2 linked regions of the Bombyx mori genome follow. The protein of the gene in region 1 interacts with the protein of each later gene in a pairwise test. Links are inferred from orthologs where the notes say so. Each region holds a gene or a part of one and is shown in the gene's direction. Other genes may lie near its edges.

Evidence for each region.
Region 2: the proteins of serine/threonine-protein kinase pelle (region 1) and protein pellino interact in a two-hybrid assay, tested with the Drosophila melanogaster proteins (2 studies listed by BioGRID). The link is inferred for Bombyx mori from reciprocal best matches to the Drosophila melanogaster genes pll and Pli.

The regions. Positions count from the first base shown.
Region 1 is NC_085132.1:11,570,648-11,583,036, forward strand, and holds the start of serine/threonine-protein kinase pelle, read left to right. Parts: upstream 1-5,401; 5' UTR 5,402-5,536; coding exon 5,537-5,656; intron 5,657-6,808; coding exon 6,809-7,022; intron 7,023-7,788; coding exon 7,789-7,865; intron 7,866-9,311; coding exon 9,312-9,395; intron 9,396-12,389. UniProt on the Drosophila melanogaster protein: Plays an essential role in the Tl receptor signaling pathway that establishes embryonic dorsoventral polarity; the signal directs import of dl into ventral and ventrolateral nuclei, thereby establishing dorsoventral polarity.
Region 2 is NC_085131.1:9,105,514-9,116,840, forward strand, and holds the end of protein pellino, read left to right. Parts: intron 1-1,681; coding exon 1,682-1,789; intron 1,790-2,145; coding exon 2,146-2,302; intron 2,303-4,669; coding exon 4,670-4,850; intron 4,851-6,245; coding exon 6,246-6,372; 3' UTR 6,373-6,384; intron 6,385-7,262; 3' UTR 7,263-10,603; downstream 10,604-11,327. UniProt on the Drosophila melanogaster protein: Scaffold protein involved in the Toll signaling pathway via its interaction with pelle/pll kinase.

The DNA.
Region 1 (12,389 bases):
TTCGATCCGGTGGTAGATTCAACGAAGCAGTGTTCTTGCTAGGGTTAGTGTTAGCAAGGTCTCTCAGGTTGAGCCCCGTGAGCTCACCTACCCGCCCGCGTGTTTTGGAATGGCCCCTTAGGCTAACAACGATTAGGTAAGCAAAATAAATAAATGTCCTTCACAAATAAAGAACGTAATATAATCTGACTAGCTTTTGCCCGCGACTTCGTCCGCGTGGAATAATTACTTTGGCAAAACGCTAAATTTGACCCGTCTCTTCATTTACGTACGAAGTGAAAATATTTTTGAATAATTGAATGTTAAGGAACTATTTAAGGTACCAAAATCACGCATTTTAACCGTCTTCAAAAGAGGAAGCTATCAATTCGACCATATAATTGTCAAAGCCTATATTGAAGTGATTTTGTTTTTTTTTCCTACCTAACCTGAGTCTTGAGAGGCTATAGGTATCAGCGTAACCTTAACTAGTGGGAGGATCCGAAATGACGTGTTTGGGACAACGTCAACTGCTTTCCATTCTATCCGCAGGATCGGGAATGATGTAATGCGGGTGTTTCAATGTTGTAACATTTAACGTATTTATTTGGATAAGGATTAATATTTTATATTGATTAATATTTTTTGATATTAATATTTATAAAAACACTTTCACAAAAAATGCCTTATTTTAGAACAACAAACAGAACAGAACAAGAAATTTGTTTAACATATAAAACGTTATAGTGAGCCAACCTTGAAATATAGACATATGCTGTGGCGGACTTTTTTTCAAAACTTTTAAAGGGCAACAATTTTGTGATGCATTATTTTAGTCAAACTTTAACCGTTTCCGCAGAGCACGTAGCGAAAGCTCTCGAAAGAGAAAAATACTCCGATTTTGAAACATTCTTATTGGTGCTCCGCTTGTATTGGTCTTAGCGTGATGTTGAATAGCCTATAGCTTTCCTCAATTATAGAGCTATCTGACGTTGAAATAATTTTTTAGCGCGTTCAAACAAACAAACAAACAAAAAACAAACTCTTCAGCTTTATAATAATAGGGGTTAAAGTATGAAATTGCCGTTCTATTACTAATAGGTACTTCGAATTGACATAGAACCTTCATGGTTTGAGAATTTTGAATGTCGTCGTGGCCTAAGGGATAAGACGTCCGGTGCATTCGTGTTGAGCGATGCACCGGTGTTCGAATCCCGCAGGCGGGAACCAATTTTTCTAATGAATTACGTACTCAAGAAATGTTCACGATTGACTTCCACGGTGAAGGAATAACATCTTGTAAAAAAAATGAAACCCGCAAAATTTTTATTTGCGTAATTACTGGTGGTAGGTACCACCGCCTTGCCTATTTCTGCCGTGAAGCAGTAATGCGTTTCGGTTTGAAGGGTGGGGCAGCCGTTGTAACTATACTGAGATCTTAGAACTTATATCTCGAGGTGGGTGGCGCATTTACGTAGTAGATGTCTATGGGCTCCAGTAAACACTTAACACTAGGTGAGCTGTGAGCTCGTCCATTCATCTAAGCAATAAAAAAAAATTTTTGAGTGAAACTTTTCTCAAAGGGTACAGAGGTTCTTCTTTTAAAAAATGCGCAACATTCGATTACCTATCGACTTCAGTTGTTTTTTTTTTTATTTCAGCTTCGACAAGAAAGATGAATATTTCGAAAATTCGAGTGATTTTTGAATACGATTTCCGACGCGGAACTAACGCTGCAGAAACAGCTCGCGATATCAATATTACGTTTGGAGAGGGACTGCTAATGAACACACCGTCCGATTTTGGTTTAAACACTTTCATGATGGAAATTTTGATTTGAAGAATGTACCACGTGGAAGACGTGTGAATCACACATGTGAATAACAATGAATTGCAAGAGATGGTGGAAGCCGATCCGAGCCAAACTACCCAGGAATTAGCGGCATGGTTTAACATTACCTTAACAACAATATTGACTCATTTGCGTCGAATCAATAAAATCAAAAAATATGAAGAATGGGTGCCTCATGATTTGACTGATCTGCAGAAAGAAACGCGTGTTGAAACTTGTGTTGCCTTGTTGAATCGATACAGAAATGAAGGAATATTGGATCGAATTGTGACTTTGCTCCAACGGACTACCATTTTTTTCGTTTTTCGTGATTTGGACAATTTTCTACGTGATAAAAAGTTTTCTTCCCAGGAGGCAGTACAAAATGCTTTCACACAGTTTATGGAATCTAGATCACCAGAGTTCTATCGCAAAGGTATAAATGACCTTCCTATTAGATGATAGCAATGTATAGATAATAATGGTAGATATTTTGATAAAATAAGTATGTTAAATGAAAAAAAAACGACTTTAATTTTTCAGTACAAATCGGCAATTTTATACTTTAACCCCTAATTATAGATCACCGTATTGAGTAAAGCAAATTGAGTAAAGTCATTCAAACATATTGATTCACTTATGATACTGTAAACATAATTAGTCAGGTCGCAACTAGGAGACTGCTCCTCTGCTTCGAGCCCTTAATTAGATAGTGAATAAAATTACTGATGTGAGCTAAATTCACAAAATTATTAAAGTCTTGCAATTATTTATTAACATCAGCTTACATCGAACACGTCTGTTTTGATACTCCACTTTAAAAAAAAATGTTGCGCGCAATAATTCGCTTTACCGTTCCGTATCAATCATGTGATGATATTTGCTTGATGTCCTACCTGAGGACGTACTTCGTCGATATGAACGATCGATCTAAATTGAATCTTTACATTTTTTTATTTTAACCTTAATAAAATAAGTTTTCTTTATTAAGACATGTATATTTGGAAAATACAACTGAATTTAGGGAATTCAAGAGGTCTGGCAACCGGTTATGTTTGACACTCATTCCAGTAGTGACGCGACGACTCGATTTTTGGTAACCTTTAACTTTCATTAAAAAAATCAAGTTAGAATCACTTACTCCAAATTAGTCCCAGTTCTGTACAAAACGAAAATTTACTACTGTTGAACGACGAAACAGTCATGGTTACTGTTTGGTGGCCTAGTGCCTTCTTTATTCACCATAGCCTCTTACCAAATGATACTAGCCTTACAGTTGATGTGTACTTTGAGAAAGTGAATCCAATTATTGAGAAGTTCACGAATCTCCGGTCAGCATGGCTCATCCTCGTTACTAGCACTCGAGCTGATAGGTCACAATAGCTGGTACGTAAATGCGCCACCCACCTTGAGATACAAGTTCTAAGGTGTCAGTATAGTTACAACGGCTGCCCCACCCTTCAAACCGAAACGCATTACTGCTTCACGACAGAAATAGGCAGGGTGGTGGTACCTACCCGTGCGGACTCAAAAGAGGTCCTGCCACCAGTAAAACCACCATTATTTAATTTCAATCCAACTGTAAACAATTGGATCAAATAATTCGACTTCATCTGATTCTAATCCATATATTAATATACCTAGTCTTGCCATAAATACTGAGACAAAGGAAAAAAAAATCTGTATATTGAAGATAAGCAATGTAAATAGAAAGAGAACAACTAAACCAAAGTAATAGAAGATAAACCAGCGACTACTTAGTCTGGCCATAAATACTGTTACAATAAAAAAATAAAAAAATCTATTGCAAATAACATTTATTACTTTTACAGTGTGTTAGTTTAATACATAGATATAAAATAATTTAAAGTATAAAAAGCTTATTCGAAGTGGTCTCCATTGGCTGCAATACAGTCCTTTGAATGTTGAGGCCAGTTATCAATAGAAGCACGCACTCTTTCCATGGGAAAAAATTTCACTGCCAATCGGACGGATTGTTTTAGGGACTCCAAATTATCATGGCGTTTAGAGCAAGCCGTACTCTCTAAAACTGACCATAAATCATAATCCAGCGGGTTAAGATCGGGACTAGACGACGGCCAGTCTTCAGCTCTGATGAAGATGATGAAAGAAGAAGAAGATGAAAAAAAAAAAAAAAAACATGCCCGCTGAGTTTCTTGCCAATTCTTCTCAGGACGGAGGCTAATTCTTGTGAATTGGCGGTAATTCTTTTGACGTTCAACAAGTATGTACTTTCATTTATGTTGAATAAAATTTTTTGATTTGATTTGATTTGATTATAACATTATGCCGAAAGTGATTAAAAGTGCTAGCAGGGATATTGTTTAGCAGGTTAAACGTGCTTGCGAAGAAGAACGAGACAAAAACGGGCCTATATTACCATTTCAACGTAATTTTTGGGCCTACCAAATCTTTAAAAGTTCCGCATTTTTCTCGATTTATTTGTTAATTATTCAATTGTAGTTCTCTTCTTAAAAGCAAGAAACGGGAAGAACAAGATTTCTGAATTAGATGATTTTGATAAGTCTGCTATAAGACATAAAATATTATATTTGTTTGATATCGAGAAGAATGAAATCCCTACAATAAACAAACTTTGGTTGGAATTAAAAACTGATATTAATTTTAAATACAGTAGAACATCTATAAGAAGCATCCTATAGGTTACAGTTACAAGAAGTGTAAAGTCTAGTATGGCTTCTGATGAAAATGTCCGAATCGAAGGCATTGACTGCAGGACCATTTCTATGCCAAATTTAAATATACTGCATGATATTAAATAAACAACTTACAAGGTTTTTATTGCGTTTTAATCTCCTTATTATATCCTAATTGAAATAGCCTAGTGCAACAACTGTATTCTGTATATCTCAATTACTTTTAGTATGTAAAATGAGATATCACTTCATTAAACGAAGGAATAAATATTAGTCAAGCTGGCAACATAATGCAGTACGCACGCAACCAGTAGCGTGCAGACTTATCTTGCGCGCACTCTATTTGTGTTTTATGTTTATTCCTAGCATCAACACAACTAACACAATTTATCTGCTTATAGTCCTTGAGTAGTTATTACACGACACTGGCAAAAATAGCTCTGTGTATAGGTAGATTGGTAATAAACAAAGAAATAAAAGAGTTAGGGTGCATTTTATAGGTTGCTTTTGGTTTGTCTTTTAATTGTCTATAATAAATACTTTTATAGTCAATGTACTCAATCTTTACAATCCATGTGAATAGCGCTATAACCCAATACAAATCTTCTGATCGCACCGCTCAGAGAAAAGGAGCAGAAATTCCTCGACATTGTCTTACAAATTTTTTAACGTAAACGAAACCAAGAAGACACGGTCTAAGTATTCAATTCGAGTCGAGTTCTGGATTCCAGGTAACTGTTATCTTCTGAGATTAATATTATGTTATGAGATAACTGTTAAATGACTATGAAAGGATTCAGGCTCACCTGAATCAGTTGAAATTAATGTACTCTTTGCCTAATTTGAAAGTTCGGCCATCACTACATGACAGTGAAATTCAGTTAAAACGTCATAGATCTTAAACAGTCCAGAGACAATAGTACACAATTACTGTCAATTACACATAGTATAAATAAACAGTCGTAGGAAACGCTACCTGCTGAATGAAACACAATTAAATCAATGTGATGTTTTGGACTGAAACTAAAGTCCTTAATAATTAGTGAAAATGTACATTTACGAATTACCACCCGAGATTAACAAAGAACTATGTCGACTTTTGGACAACTTCGATTACTGGGAGGAGCTGGCCGGCAATTACATGATGTACACAGCGATGGACGTCATCGTAAGTATATTTATTACTAAGAATCACTTGGGATTTCCCAAATGCAGACCTTAGGGAACTTTAATGAAAAATCCGATTGAAGAACAAAAATTTCGCTGTTCCTGACACAACACAGTATAGCACAATATAAAAACAGTAAAAGTATACAAGTCAAATCAAATCAGTCTTATATTTAAGTAGGCCGTTACTGATGTCATTTTTTATCACCGATTTGGAATACTGTTTTGCTCCTGAATCAGCAAGGATCTCTGAACTTGTTCTTTCCATCGCAACACAAAAAAATTACTACATTTTAAGATCAAATTAAATATTTCATTGAATTGAAATTACTATGACTTGAACAGGTCAACACTACTGAACCAATTAAACATAAGTTTAGTATTCTTGCTGTGAGGAGCACAATTTCAAACCTATGTATGTAGTTCCTTCATTCACATAGCAATTGACATATGTCATTAATTGACTAATAAATTTAGTACGTAATTGTTTTCCTTAAACTAATAATTGTTTACTAGAATTTGCTTGGAGTATGATCTCCAAGCACTGATGGATCCAGAACTGGATGAAATCTGACCTATAATACAACTAGTGTTACAAAATATTTGCATAAAACATTTTGTGAAAGTTCATTAATATTCAACTTTCACTGTTATGAAATCATATATGTTTTACATGTGAATGCTAAAAAAATTTATATTTCCCAATTGACAAATTATGAATGGTATAAAATATTATTATATTATATTATATTGAGGTTAGAGATGAGAGATGTTGGAGTTAGAGATGAAAATATGGAAATCATAATATTTGCACTATGTAGGCCAAAACATCTACATATTTAATTATAAGTATGAAAAAAGAAAACAGCACCATATATTGATCCTCAAAGGGCAGGTAGTTCTCTACTCCTTGATGTGTACATTTTTGATGGGTACACATCAAGTATGATGATACACATGATACAAATCATATACTTGATGGGTACATTTTTTTATGTGAAGGACTTAAGAAGCTCCATACCTTTTTGCTTTGTTTATCACTCTTTTTATGAATTTCTTGTGTAGTAGTTGTGTTCTAATGATAGATGATAAAGATAAAGTTCTAATGATAAAGATGAATGAATTAATTTGTAATGTATGTTTATCTATTTAGGAAATAAAAGAGAAGGCTCGTCATCAGGGCATATCCCCAACGGAATACCTCCTGGAGTGCTGGGGGCAGAAGAACCATCGAATTGAGGAACTGTTTGTGTTGCTGTACCGCATGAAGCACATTCCTGCCATGAGGCGGCTAACCGGCGTCGTGCACGAGAGGTTCCATAGACTCCTACACAAGCTGGAGGCGGGGAACGGACAGGATGGAAACAGTCAGTATACTAGTTCAATAAAATTACAGAATAATATTTAAAGTTTGTAGATTGACCCCAGTCGAGTTGATTGGATATAGCATGAGAAGTCGGAGATTTAAGTATCCGAATGTTAAAATGTACATACAAAACAGTACATAGGTATTTTAAATTCAAATTTCATTGGAATATTAAAATAAAATATATATTCTTTTCCTACTTTTTAGTTTGACTTAGTAAAAAAATTCTTTACTTATTTTACTACAGATAATTATATTTTATAAAAGTTTCAACAGTAAGAACTTTTCATTACAATTGATAAGAATAACACACCTCGCGATGTGCTGTCCTGTGGATTGTGTACGACTAAACGTTAATATTAAAATGCTCATTTATTTATATATGGGTGAGTGCGGTCAGGACGTTAGCCAATGTTATAAAATTATTGTACTGTCGGCGGTTCTTGCCACGTGTGCAACTTGCTGTGTGTAGTATAGTAGTATGGCGTCTTAAAGTTTGTGATAGCTAATTATTCTATTGCATAGATATAAGAATGTGGGTTTTTATTAGCGGTGCCTACCCGTGCGGGCTCATTGTAATTAAAAATAAATTTAACAACTAAACTATATTGGAATAAGAAACTAAGGCAAACATAAATGTGAATAGTGTTGTGCGTCGGCCCGGGTACCTGCCACGGTTCGGCCTATATCTGCCGCCGTGCAACTGTCACTAAGAGCGTTAAAACGTTGAGTTCGCAAGGCTAGGGCACCCGGTACGCTTGTTACAGACGCGCGCACCGGCGGCGCGCAGAGGGCCACCACCAGCAGCGACTCCGTCCCGCTCCCGGTCATACTCTTTGATCAGGTAACTAACCTTTCCATGACTTTAGTTTATCAATAAGGGGGATGATGCGTCAAAGTTGGTTTTAGGAAAACAACATCAATCGCAAATTAACATTAAACATTCTCATTAGCATACATTGAATTTATTTTGAAGTAGGTGTCATAATTCAGTATAAAATTAAATACCGCAAATCTTTATGTAGATAAAGGGGAATGCCAGGTCGCCATAGTAATTTAGGCCCACAGTGCACATTTATACAGTCATGATAATAATAGCAGACAACGGCAATAATTAATTAGTAAAAAAAGGAATGTAGAAAAAAGGTGGCATTTTAAAGTTATTCAATAATTTTATCTCTCGTCAATACATGTTATATAAAATGTCCTGTATGTAAAATCCTGTATTAGTTTATCTATTGTTTTATTTTATTTAGAACTAAAATCTATTAGAAATGAAATAAAACACATTACATGGCAGATTTACTCATCAATTTCATTATCATACTACCAAAACATCATCTAAAAATTGAGCTGGAGGGAAAATATTACACACAGTACACAGGGCACAGCATCCTACCGTAAGTAACCGTATGTATAGGTAAAAGCTGTCGATTTAAACCAATAAACATGTACACAAACAGTCACAAGGCAGTTGCAAAACAAGCAATGATTTTGACATTTAAGATTTCCGTCTTCTATCAAGGCAGTAATGGTGTTGCCATAAAAAACAAAAAAAAAACGATAATAGTTACTTTAACTTAATCAATGCTATCATTATATATATATTTTTCACAAAATGAATAGTGAAATAATGTATGATAGAAAAAATTAAATTATTTTTCCAGTTAATTTTCTGTCAACATATTTTTTGTCGGGGAAACATTTGTACGGTAATGTATGGTACCCTTCCAAGCGTAGTCGTTAAATGTTTAATATTTTTGGAAAATTTTTACCAACTTGCACAGAATAATGAATACAAGGAAGAACTAGGATAAATATTAATATATTTTTTTAGTGTAACCAGATTACTGTGCAGCTCTGGGCCTAGATCTGGCCTGCCCCTTTTTTGCAACATCCAAGGCTCAACCTGAGAGAAATTGCTAACACTGCCCCTAACAAAAGCAAAGCTGCGCTGGATAGATCCATGGATCGGAATTGCTACCCGCTGAGAAGATCCGCCGAGAAATTCAGTGGGTTATGTCTATGGGTCAGTTCGCTCGCAGGACGGTGACCGGTGCTAGCGGCGGCCACGATATCGTGTCGAGCCGCTTTGTCGAAATAGCGTTCTGACGCTACCTTAAGATGTTATGGGTCGGTTCTAAATTTAAATGACTCACACGACGGAATTTATAAGAGAATATAGCCGTTATTGCGCGTCAGTCTGTCCGTGCTGCGCGATGTTATCATCTCGAGTGGTGCGCAAGTAGTTCCAATAAGCGTCTTATTTGATTTGATTTTGGAATTACAGGGGATCAGGCAGGCTCCCTCGAGCAGCGGACTCAACGGGCGCTCTCCCTCCGCGGACACGAGCTCGGCCACCAGCACCAGCACCGTGAGTGCCTCTCTGTCGAACGAACCTCGCGCAAACATATACGGATTGTGTTACTGATAGCGGACACTGCCACGGTCGCGTCGTGCAGGCTCGCCCTGGGGCATCACGAAAAATGCCTACACAAAGTGAATATGTTCAGGACATAATTTTATATAATGTTTTACATAAACAGGATGTTCCACAAGGGGTACATCAAGTCCCATTCAAGTACATCATTCACTGGTGGTACCTGTGTGGTACTGGTGGACCTCTTGTGAGTCCGCACGGTTAGGTACCACCACCCCGCCTATTTCTGCCGTGAAGCAGTAATGCGTTTCGGTTTGAAGGGTGGGGTAGCCGTTGTAACTATACTGAGACCTTAGAACTTATATCTCAAGGTGGGTGGCGCATTTACGTTGTAGATGTCTATGGGCTCCAGTAACCACTTATCACAAGGTGGGCTGTGAGCTCGCCCACCCATATCAGCAATAAAAAAAAAAACATCAAAAGATGCCTATTCGTATCGGAAATCAACTTGTGAATACTGGTTGTAATTGAGTGCCCATACTTAATGGCGAATGACGACCACTCACCATCAGGTGGGCCGTATGTCGAGTTCGCACGAGTTGTTTTTATTAAACTACTAGCTGACCCGGCAGACTTCGTAGTGCGTCAATCGATAAATAGAAGACCTAAACTTTGGTATAAAATAAACTTAAAACAAACAAAAGGAATCCGTCCGACGGGTCAGAGGAAAAACAAAATTGTTATTTTTATTTAATGCGAGCATTTTCATATTTATTTACCTTTTAAACCTTCTCTGGACTTCCACAAATAATTCCAGACCAAAATTAGCCAAGTCGGTCCAGCCGTTCTCGAGTTTTAGCGAGACTAACGAACAACATTTCATTTTTATATATATAGACTAGCTGTACCCGTCCGCTTCGCTGGGCATTTAAAATTAACATTATTATTTCTCACCTCCCACAAAGATTCTCATTATTAACGCCTCCGCAACTGGTGTAGAAAGTCCAACACTCATATAAATATTAGCCTATTCATTAAGTACATGTATTTTCTACATGGATACCAAGTTTCAAGTCAATCGGATGCACGGTTCAGTAGTTATAACGGAACATCCGTAAAACCACTGTAGATCTATATATTAGTATAGATATACATTAATAATTACACCTTACATTTTTTTACTTATATGATTTGCATCAGTGATACTAACCGTGCTTCGATTGTACTCCCCTTGTGAGATACTCTGTATAAGATTATAGTCCCAAAAACTCCAATCTACCACCCAGTACTGAAGATATACAAAGGAGACTGAAACAATTACATACATTTTTGGGCCCGAATGTAACGTGATGAAACTAATATGAATTAATAGATTCAGATTTATCAGTACCTTGCTGAAAATTCTAAAAGTTTTCTCAATCTGAGAGCCGAGTTAATAAAGATTTAGTAAAAGTTAGGTTATGTTACAATCTCTATAAAAGAGCTGAATAATAACTTATTTAAGCATAAGTAAATGTTTATTATATCCATTAGATAATCTTTTGAATGTCATATTATGAATGAATATTAATTATCTATATCAGGTATAGATTTACCTAAAAGGCCTCGAAAAAAATAAAACACAACGTATTGTATACCTAGTGTATTGTACCTTCAATTATTATTAAAATGCCGTTCAGGAAGAGTGAGTGCAGGGGGAACAATATTATCTTGTTATGTACCTAAACCAGCTAAGGTACCATATAATACTGTCCAAGGGTCCAACCATATAATATAATCCAACCGTATAATACTGTAACACTGTCCAAGGGTCGACGGCCTATGGAATTGTTATGATTAATTGCTATCCCACAATTCACACAGTGATCCATAATTTCAACAGTATCCAATTCAACAATTTCAAGTCAAACGTGTGAGCGATCTTCGGTGTCCAGTGTAGAAGCAACTGTCGTACAAGGCAGGCAGGGTTGGAATCCGTAATAATAAAGCAGTGATCGTTGAAAATAAATAAAAACAGCTATATAGATACACACTCAAAACGCTTCGAAAATACAAAACGAGTAGAGCAGAAAAAACCAACAAGCGCCAAAACCCAAATATTAAGTGTATAATCTATGAACAAGCGTCATGTCAAAGCTGTCAGACTTTTTGGCGGGAACGCGAGGAGTGAAGTTGTGTGATTTGTTTTCTTTTGTCTATTTAGTGTTTCTTCGGGTTTAAATGTGTAATAATGGTGGTTTATTAACTGTTTAATATCTGTGAAAGTGCACAAATGTGGGTAAATGAAACAAAGCCGCTGGCTGTCACTTCTCGGGATCCTCCAAAAAGTCTCAGTAGATGACCACCATTTTACTGAGATTATATTTCATCCCATATGATCTCATCTCATTTAATTTGATTTCATCCCAGTTCATTAATGTCTCAAATTAATCATCTTCATTTCATTTCATCATTTTTCATAAAAATAAGAAAATAAATGAAAATAAGACATGACTTAAAGGTCTTAGTTACCAGAACATAAAATCCCTTAAAAAAAAATCAAAGCTGTCATTAAAAATACAATTGATTTTAATCGATTTGAAATCGATAATCATATTACTTTGTTAAGTAATAATAGACTTTTTCTTTATTTATGTATATAATCGCAATTAAATTCGCCGTATACCGCACTTGTATACAACAAGTATAAATCGCTCATTTAATTAATTTGCATTCATTACTTAATGTAATGTTTTTCTTTTTATAATCCTGTAATCGATTAATTAAATAGATCACACCGCTAAACCGAGAAAAACCAATTTTCTCATTTTTCTCCGGTCCCAGTAAAAGGATTGAGGTGATTTTTTATATTCTTACTAGCTGACCCGGCAAACATTGTTTTGCCATACTATATAAGATTTCTAGGGAATTTCTAGTGTAGAAAAAAAAACTAACTTATTGTAAGTGTATAAGGATGTGGTAAATGAGTGAAAGAGGTATGTAGTGCTG
Region 2 (11,327 bases), on another chromosome or scaffold:
TGTCGGTGTAGACTTTTTGCGGTCAATGTGATCAGGGACGTCATTATCCAGTATATTGTGCTCTCTGTCTAGCACGAAATTAAAACTCTTTTAATATAGCTTCCTTATTTCTAAACAGATTTTAATTTTGTTTTTATTGATCTGCTCTATCGACTGTTCGTTTTTATAGTTAATAAAAAATCAGTCAGTCAATGTGTGAAATGTAGGAAACCTGTTTACCATTGAAAATGTTATGCCTGAAACTTTATGCAGCGTCTATGCTCTGTTCCTGGCATTACTGAACGTTTGAGAATTGGTTACCACTAATCGGATCACGGCCTGTATTTTCGTGTGCCTTAAGAGACTTACTACCTACTAATTTTATAAATCCAAAACATTACGAGGATAATTGGTGGTTTGAATTTGAATTTGAAGAAACTACTAAATGGATTTTGATGAACCTTCACGGTGCAATTATAAGATACGGGGCGCGCGAATTATTTCAAGAAATTGTTATTTTTCATAATCTTAATGTATATTAATTATAGTTTAATTTATAAAAACAATTAGTCATAGCAGAGAGTGATCAGATATAAAAAAAATACCCTGAACAGATAAGCTAGTTTGCGCAATAGCAAATATATAATGTAATGTTTGAATAAAACTGAGATTAAGTAATTATAATGAGGAAAATATTTTATCTCTGTTATCATAAAAGTGGGAAGATCTAGTTTCACGCGAGTGTCTTGCGTCAGGTGCTGTCGCAACGGTGTTCTGTAAACAAAATTCCTTGGAAGCTCTCATTAATGCTTTTTAGATTTATCAACTATAAATTCAGTCACCACTATCATCGGCATCAGACATATCTTCATTATTACAGTGCAACCTTAATATAACGAACCTCAATATAACGACGTCCTCGATTTAACAAATTCTTCGTTGTCCCCTTGAAATGTCCATAAGAGTCAATGTAAAATATGCCTTTACATTGCGAAGATTTCTTGCGAACAACCTCTTTATAACGAATTTTCTACTACTACAAAAAAGTTTAAGTACCTCTCTCTAATTAACGAATTTTGTCAACCCAAAGCCTATAAATAACTTTCCCACCAACATGACCATAGTATGTGAACCAGTCTCGCGTCAGGTTTGACAGAATTTGTTACGTACCTAATTGTTTTTAAATAGAAAATACATCCAGTAATTTGAAAAAAATGTATTATTAATCATTAGTAGAAGTTGTTCGCTAGAAAAAGATGAGTAGGTACGTAATGTTGAGGTGAATATATTTTTTTACCAGTTTATAACAAATGGTACGTACCAACGTAACCTTAATTTAACAAGCTTTAGTTTACCGAATTACTTGATATAATGAATATTTACTTGTTCCCTTCTGATTTGTTATGTTGAGGTTGCAATTATTATCTGACTGCTTACTTTCTACATAACGCCCACCTTTAATACTAATGGGAATGATAGAAGGGAGTCATGTGTGATGCAATTTAAATCTAGACCTTATGTAATTGGGTGATAGAATTTTACATTGTGGTGGCGCTAATTGATTAACATCATTTGGATTATGAACTTCGAGAATTTTCCGTTAACGCGATACAGAAGTATTTAAGTTTAAGCGCACAGATTTTGCTTTATTAAGGTAATAGTTTAAATAAAAATGACATTTTTATGTATTGTTTCTTTTTAGGGCTTGCCGTGCCAGGCAGAAACAAATGTACTCAGAGATGGGACAATGATAGATCTGTGTGGAGCCACATTGTTGTGGAGGAGTGCCGAGGGACTGAAGAATTCACCGGTACATTTATCTAATTTTACTATCATAAATTAATCTTTTTTTTTCATTTTTAATTTAACTAAATTTTAAATTTTCTAACATTTTAATCATCATTCAGGCTATTATATTTATTGTACGTATTAAATGTGTATGTAAACAATACTTTAATATGAGAAATGTAAAAGTATGTTTGTTTGTTTGTCCTTCTTTCGCGACGAAACGAAGCTATGGATTGAAATGATTTTATCAAAGTGATAGTTTTAGGTCAGTAAAGACACATTGGATAGAAGGTACATTTACTAAATTACCTTTAGAAAAAAAAACATCGACACTTTTCCTTGACGAAATTTCTAGAAATGTTGTTTTTCCACGTACAGACAAAACGCGATTTAGAAGCTCTAGTGGACGAGTTGAACGCCGGCCGGCCTCAGTGCCCGGTCGGACTCAACACGCTGGTCATTCCGCGGAAGCTGTCCACCGCGCACCAAGACCTCAACCAGCCCTACGTGTACCTCAACTGCGGACACGTGCAAGGTGAGGCCGGTGCACTAGTATATATCTCGCTACGTTGGTCATCGCAACATGAGAGCGTCTGAGCACCACACCATCGCGCGTTTCGTATTGGGTGACGGAAAATATAAGTAATCTAGTATATGTTCCATAACGACTATACATGTTTTTTTTAAGCGGTTACCAGAGCCCATAGACATCTACAACGTAAATGCGCCACCCACCTTGAGATATAAGTTCTAAGGTCTCAGTATAGTTACAACGGCTGCCCCACCCTTCAAACCGTAACGCATTACTGCTTCACGGCCGAAATTGGCGGGGTGGTGGTACCTACCCGTTCGGACTCACAAGAGGTCCTACTACCAGTAATTACGCAAATTATAAATTTGCGGGTTTGATTTTATTACACGATGTTATTCCTTCACCGTGGAAGTCAATCCTGAAGATTTCTTAAGTACGTATTTCATTACAAAAATTGATACCCGCTGGCTGGACAGGTGCATCGTTCAACACGAATGCACCGGACGTCTTATCCTTTAGGCCACGACGACGTTGTTGTAGGTGCGAGACATTTGGGTAATTGGAATTCAATGGATCAATCGAACATCATCCTATGAGCGGTATTGCTGGCTCTTAATATTACTATTAAAATTTGATAGGTCTCGCTGTACTGATTTACTTAATATGTTCATTAATTAAGAACTTGTAAGTACACTGATAGACATAGATATAAGGAAATATAATATTATTATTGACCCAATCTTTGAACTGTGCTGTTTGAGTTTAACCGGCTCAATACACGGTGACGTCGAAATGCTATTATGAATTAGTGTATTAATAAATACATCTTTAAAGTTTTGATATTCGTGTCACAACTGTTTGAGTATTAATATATTGAAATATTAAATCTATTATTTACACAATAAGATAGTGAATTTTATTAAACTAGTTGTAAGTAATTAATGTAGTGTTTGTACAAATGACATGTTAACGAATCAACGTCGCGTCATGCATTGATGGCTGTGATTGGCCAACGATGACGTCATATCGCACGAACCAATCACAAAACAGAAAATGCAATAGTGGCACCAATTGTCAAAATTTTAAATAATATAACACGAAGAAAAAAGATGGACGCGCATTTCAATTTTGTATTTGTAAAATAATTAAAAATAATATAATGAGTATTTGAAGAAGTAAACGCATTTATTCATTTTCTTGGCCACCTCAAGATACATCTAAGAAATAGACGCAACAGACATGAATATGTCGCGATACTCAATTTCATATTGTTTTATTGAAAATTTTCTAGATCAGACGAATTGACGTCCTCTCTTAAGTAATTACCGAACCCAAAATACAACAATGTAATTAACGTTTTACATTGAGTCACTAACTTATTGCTAAGATGGGCGGACGAGCTCACGGCCCACCTGATATTAAGTGGTTATCGGAGCCCATAGACATCTACAATGTAATAGCCGCCACTCATCTTGAGATATGAGTTCTAAGGTCTCAGTATAGTCACAACGGCTGCCCCGCCCTTCAAACCGAAACGCATTACTGCTTCACGGCAAAAATAGACCGGGTAGTGGTACCTACCCGTGCGGACTCACAAGACGTCCTACCACCAGTAAGTACGACAAATTATAATTTTGCGGGTTTGGTTTTTATTACACGATGTTATTCCTTGACCGTGGAAGTCAATCGTGAACTTTTTTCAAGTACGTATTTCATTACAAAAATTGTTACCCGCTTGCGTGATTCGAACACCGTTGCATCGATACTTACGATTCGGTATCGATTTCAAACCGGAAAACACTATTGCTTCCCAATATAAATCAAAGGCAAAGTTACATAGTATTTGAATAAGTTATTTTTTTATGAATTAGCAAGTTACATCGAATGTCATTCATTCCCGATCCTGCGGACAGAATGGAAAGCAGTCGACGTCGCCCCAAACACGTCATTTCGGATCCTCCCGATCCACTAACGGTGCTTTTAGGTACTTCAAGCACCGGTCACCGATCTCGTCGAACCCGTCGCTTGCGACGAAGGGCTCGACGAGTAAATTAACCCTCAGACACAGCCCACTGAGTTTCTCGCCGGATCTTCTCAGTGGGTCGCAATTCCGATCCGGTGGTAGATTCTGCGAAGCACGGCTCTCACTAGGGTTCGTGTTAGCAACGTCGTCAGGTTTGAGCCCGTGAGCTCACCTACTAGTTAAAGTTACGCTGAAATAGCCTCTGAAGGCTCTCAGCTAGGTAGGAAAAATAATAATAATAAAATAAAGAAGGTCATTGACCTCGGTCATTAAATACTTTCAATGATTGCGTGCTTAATCTTTGAGTACGTTTCCCGCATGTGATAGTTGTTGTTGGTTGTCTGCAGGGGAGCACTCGTGGGGCGCCGAGGGCAGCGAGACTGGGGTGCGGCGGTGCCCGATGTGCTTGACGGCGGGCCCCGTGGTGCGCGTGTGCATGGGCATCGAGCCCGCCTTCTACGTGGACGCGGGACCGCCCACGTACGCCTTCAACCCGTGCGGACACATGGCCTCCGAGAGAACCGTCAAGTGCGTGTAACTGTTTAACCTAACAACCTGTTGTCCAAACTAAATGGCAGTGTTACACATAGCGAAGAATGAAAGACTATGTGGTTTAAGCCACTTTTTGATTTATTGCTTAGATGGGTGGACGAGCTCACAGCCCACCTCATGTTAAGTGGTTACCGGAGCCCATAGACATCTACAAGGACACATGGCCTCCCAAAGAACCGTCAAGTGCGTGTAACTGTTTAACCTAACAACCGGTTGTTCAAACTAAATGGCAGTGTTACACGTAGCGAAGAGTGAAAGGCTATTTGGCTTAAATAACATTTTTTTTAAAGATTGGTGGACGAGCTCACAGCCCATAGACATCTACAACGTAAATGCGCCACACACCTTGAAACATAAGTTCTAAGGTCTCAGTATAGTTACAACGGCTGCCCCACCCTTCAAACCGAAACGCATTACTGCTTCACGGCAGAAATAGGCGGGGTACCTACCCGGCTCCTACCACGCTCCTACCACCAGTACGTTTCGCTTAATACGCTATACTTTTCTTTGTAATTATTAAAAGTACGTTTTATTTGGTATTAGCATCGACAAGTTGTTTTTAATTGAATTTCAATTAAATTCAACCTCTCGATATATATAACGGTTTTACAAAATGTAGTTTTATTTGCGAGAGTACTATCATAGACCAAGAAAAGAATCACAGACTTACATAGATTATATTAAAGTATAAACTAGAGATATAATTATCACACCATGAGTCTATCTATACTAATATTATAAAGAGGAAAGATTTGTTTGTTTGTTTGTTTCGAATAGGCTCCGAAATTACTGGACCGATTTGAAAAATTCTTTTTCCATTAGAAGCCGACGTTGTCCCTGATGAACATAGGCTACTTTTTTTTATTTATTTTTTTTATTTTTTTTTTTTGGTTTCATGTGTGTTTTAATGTTTCCGAAACGAAGCGAGGGCGGGTCGCTAGTAAACTATAAAGTAGGGTTCAACTTTCTAAGTTCAACAATAGATAATAACTAATAATTCTTCTAAGTACATTTCCAACGAAAACTGTTGAAAACCTAATTAATCATGTTTTATTTCAACAACTAATGTCGCAACTATAGAATTATAGACACCCATTTCGAAATATGTGGATTTCGACTTTAATTCAAAAATGTACCTAGAACGACCGACCCTTTTCAGTGACTCTTAATAATTAAATCACCAAAAGTAGCCTATAACGGGACAAACTTATACATCTGTCTCTTTCACTCCGTCCCCTGCCTCTACGTCTTTTCGGTTTCAAAACCTTTATTCGATGTTTTAAAAAAAACACATTTTTTGAGTTGGGTCTGTGTAATTCTAAAGGTTCGATCTGTCAGTGTCAGTTTTAAGCAAAGGTATTCCCTCGGCAGGTACTGGGCCAACGTGGACATCCCGCACGGGACCAACGGCTTCCACGCGATCTGTCCGTTCTGCGCCGCGCCGCTGCAGGGCTCGCCCGGATACGTCAGACTCATATTCCAGGACAATCTCGATTGAGACTTGCTAATGGTAAATTATTATCCTTACTAGAATAGAAGATCTATATATATAAAAATGAATTGCTGTTCGTTAGTCTCGCTAAAACTCGAGAACGGCTCGACCGATCTGGCTAATTTTGGTCTTGAATTATTTGTGGAAGTCCAGAGAAGGTTTAAAAAGTAGATAAATATGAAAATGCTCGGAATTAAATAAAAATAACAATTTTGTTTTCCCTTTGATGTCCCCACCGTCGGACGCATTCCTTGTGTTTGTCTTAAGTTTATTTTATACAAAAGTTTAGGTCTTTTGTTTATCGATTGAGGCACTACGAAGTATATTTGAATATAATTATATAAAAGATAATAAAAAGAATATAAAAATAAAAACCATTATCAATTACACTTTTGTTACCTTCATTTCACTTCATATGATTATGTGCATATCTTCTTTATTACCTCGAATTCTAAAGTTGACTTTCCATCTTCCAAATGTAATACAGTTAACGAAGCAGTAATTAACCAATTATCTGGTCATCGCCCTGGTCGAACCCGTCGCGAACGAAGGGCTCGGCGAGTAAATTAACCCACAGACAAAGCCCACTGAGTTTCTCGCCGGATCTTCTCAGTGGGTCGCGTTTCCGATCCGGTGGTAGATTCTGCGAAGCACTGCTCTTGCTAGGGTTCGTGTTAGCAACGTCATCAGGTTTGAGCCCCATGAGCTCACCTTCTAGTTAAGGTTACGCTGAAATAGTCTTCTCAAGACAATCAGCTTAGATAGGAAAAGAAAAAAAAAACTATTTTTCAAACTGTCTAAAATCTATATGTCAAAATTAACCATACAATAATACTCTTTGCCTAAATAAACAAGCTTTATCAATTTGTCAGTACAATATCTTGTTTTTTTTCTAGGTTCAAGCTCGAATCAACCATTGTAAATAGAGGGGATGCATACTGTAAAATCGTCTGTAAGAAAACGTAGCCTATAGACGCTTTGGGCCGAGGTTACCTATGCAGCTGAAGCGATTCGAACGAAACTCGCTATCGCTCATGAAACAAGGCCTCGGCCAAATCTCAGAACGATTATATTACACGTTATGAATTAGGTTATGACTTCCCTCAGTAGTTTGAGGATGCTTTCATGACTTCACGATGATGTAACGCGCACGTCGACGACGGAATCTCACTAAACGTGGCTTTCGGTTATACTAAATCACTAAAATATTCAACAGATGGCGGTACTGTTTTATAAAACAAACAAAAAAATTATAAGCTCACATTATACTGAACCCGTCTCTCAACTATTACAAATATTTTGATCTCGAAATGTTTTGATGAATTAGAATTAAAATGTTTGTTTTAAAACAGTACAACATCGGTACGACAAATCAATGTTATGTATTTCGTTAATTGAACAAAATACATTACGTTAGTTATATATAACAACAAAAGCGAATTACTAACTCGACGATTTAATCTTTTAAACTGATAAAAATAATAACTCTCAATAATCAACATATATACATATTGTATGTACTGGACAGAATTCAATTATAACTAATACCTTGAAAATGTAAGAAGCAAACTATGATTTAATAGGCAAATATTTCAAATTGCCGTTTTATTGATGGGTTCGTGTTGATGAATGAAGCCTCGCTTGGTGACTTTGAGGTAGGAAATGAAATTGTTTAAATTCAATCAAACATTGTTTCCTTAATAATTTTATGGTTGTAAAAAAAAAATGATATCTAAAATAAAGGTGTCCGAAATTATAATGGTCTCCTAAAGTCTAAAGAAAATGTTAAAAATTAATTGAAAGCATAAAATATGTACACCGTTTTTTATGTATGCAATGAGCAGATGTAATGCGTATTTTTTTGTCTTTTGGAATGTTGAAAGTTATACATGTAAATATTTAATAATAATCATAAAAAAAAAACAAATACTTTTAGCTAAGATATTATTTATATCGGTATTTCTGTGGCGGTTTCGAACGCTTTCTAGAAACAGAGAGCCTATGTAGTTTGTAAGTGAAGCGTTATTATTATGTATTGATGTGTGTGAGTTTTGTGTGATAAAGTTGCATCATACACACATTCATATATTATTATGATGTGCATAGCTTGAAGATTCATTCTTAACTTTATTTCGGCACATTTGTTTTTAATGGTCTGTTTGTCTTCTACAAGTGAACACGAGGCTTAAAAAGAGTTGGGTTTTTTTATGAATTTGATATTTAATTTCGGTATCTTACTAGCCGATCTATTTACTGCACAAAAATAATAAACTTTTTTTTTTTAGTAGTACTGTTAACAATATTTGCACGTTAATCTGAGTGCTCACACCTAATGAATTAGCTGGGAAAGACATATATATATATACCTATAAATGTTTTAATTCAGTCATTTTATTGTAGTTACACATCTAAGCAAGTAATAAAAATTGTATTACCCTGTATCACATATTCCTAAGTCATAGTACAAAAAATATGTTTATGTAAGTTTGTTTATGTACTGACTTAATAGTAAGAACGAATCGAATAATGGTCGTGATAAGAATAGTTTTTTTTTAAATATTTGTTCTATAAAATTGCACTCAAATTTAAATTTCAAAACTATTTCAACAAGTGGCTGATTAGCATGCAACCTTGTGCCTGTATTGAAAAAAAATGACCTTCTTGATACCCATAGAGACGTACGAATTAAGACCCTATTTAATTTAGCCGCGTAAAGTGGTATTGATTAACACTAATTAAAAATAACTCGACATAGATGCATAATGTCGGACACTTATGTATGTATGTCCTAATCTACTGTAGCACTCGATAATGCCACCATTATAACATATAATTTTTTGAAATAGTACTAAAACTACAATATTCAAAATTGAATACGAATAATGATGATGTCGCAAAATGTAGATCCGACGTTATGGTTCTGATATCGAGAGCTGCTTTATTTTTTTTTCGTTCGTAAATGTTTGCATGTAAAGAGTTAGAGGCTCGTAGTAGGCTGGACCTGTATGCTTAGTGTGAGTTTTTTAACGTTCTCGATAGCGTAAAAGTTAGCTCACATTTGTTTGCAGTTGGAACAGCGCCCCTAGCGGCAAACGTAGGCAAATTTGCATACAAATTTGAGTTAACTTCTACGTTATCGAAAACGTTAAAAAACTCTCACTAAGCACACTGTAGGCTTCGATCTCGGGGTTTATGTACGTGATCAAATCGAAATAAAAGCATTTAGGAAACTGAGTTTAAAGACTAAACTCGAATTTCAAGGATATTTGTTATTAATAATAAAATCGATTAGTATTTGGTGTCCTAAAACGAAATGTAAATAAAGTAAGTTTTATAGGCGTAGTGGTTAGCTTACGAAAGGTAAAATTTAGTTTTTTATACTATTCGAGTTTCACCGTTTAGTCGATTTAACATAAAAAAAAACATTTTTAGTGATTTCTTTTTGAATGGAAAAAAATTGTAACACTTTTTGTTTTTCCTTACTATGACCTGTTTTTCTGATGGAAAAGTTTTCAAGCGTTCGGCTCAAACTGGTCGCATGGATTAATTCCTATTAGTTCCCGTTCAATTATCGATATAAAACCTTGAAACGGGTCGATTGTGAATTTATTTTCGTATTTTATTTATTGCGCTAAACTATGCGGCGAGCTCGTGGCCGACTTGGTTACCTTGTAACCAGAAGCTTGTAGACATCAGAACATGAAATCGAAGAATCAAAGTTCCGCCCTCGAACCGGAGCAAAAGGAGGGACTGCGGCACCCGCTCGCGCGTACTCGCAATACGCTTCTTACTGCTAATAAAAAGTGCATTATTCAAATCTTGTGATTCTTTGTTTTACGACGCGATTATGGACTGTTTAATTAATTAATTCACCTATTACGATGATTGAATGTTTATCATTAGTTTTGATTAGAAACTGAGATTTATGTGGACAATGTAGTTACGCTTATAATTAATTATGTAGCGTCTTTGCGCTTTGAGCTAACATTGTGATAACCTAATGTATGCTGCATACAATGAAACAACAGAAATAGCTGTCGTTTTGTGTGTACATACCAAAATGTCCAGCAGTATTGAAATCTGTTTGTAATGTGCGTTTGCAATGTTACGTTTAAAGCGCAAATGATCGATTTTAAAACTTATTATTACGGTAATAAGAACTGATTGCTAGCCTTAATTTTATTTATAATACCTATGTGCTAGGATAATAAATTGCTCCTTTGAGTTAGAAAATTCACTTGGTGTTTGTCTTCCGGTTACCTTAATGTTGTTGTTTATGCACGCGGTTTTCCTAACAATGTTTGAAAATATGTAATACATTTTAATTTGCATATTTCGCGCACCCGCGTACCGAAAGAGAAAGGTAGCGCAAGAAGAAACCGCTGAGACGGAGACGTGATGATTATTTTCTTATATTTTTCTTCAATTATCGGCACTGACTCTTGTTATTATTGTCGGATCTTCAAATATGAGAACAGATATGAACGTGAAGGAAATATGCATAATGCGTGGGATTTGTTGCTCTACATTTTTTGTGACAATTACTACCGCAATATACCGTTACCCGCACGTTATTAGACCTGATCTCTTTTGTAAAAAAGTGCGGTACTTTTGTAAAAAATCAAGACCATCTCAATCCCATCGGCCTATAGACATCATCACATCAGTGCCCGGTCACCGTCCGCGCCGAACCCATAGACACAGCCCACTGAGTTTCTCGCCGGATCTTCTCAGTGGGTCGAGTTTCCGATCCGGTGGTAGATTCTGCGAAGCACTGCACTTGCTAGGGCAAGTGTTAGCAATATTCCCAGTTTATGACCCGTGAGCTCACCTACACGTCAAGGCGAAGCTGAAATAGCCTCTCAAGGCTATCAGCATAGGTAGGAAAAAAAAGGACATGAGTGCTGAACATGGGCCAAGGTCCTCCGCCACAATGACTTGTCCTGTGTCGCCCGTAACCA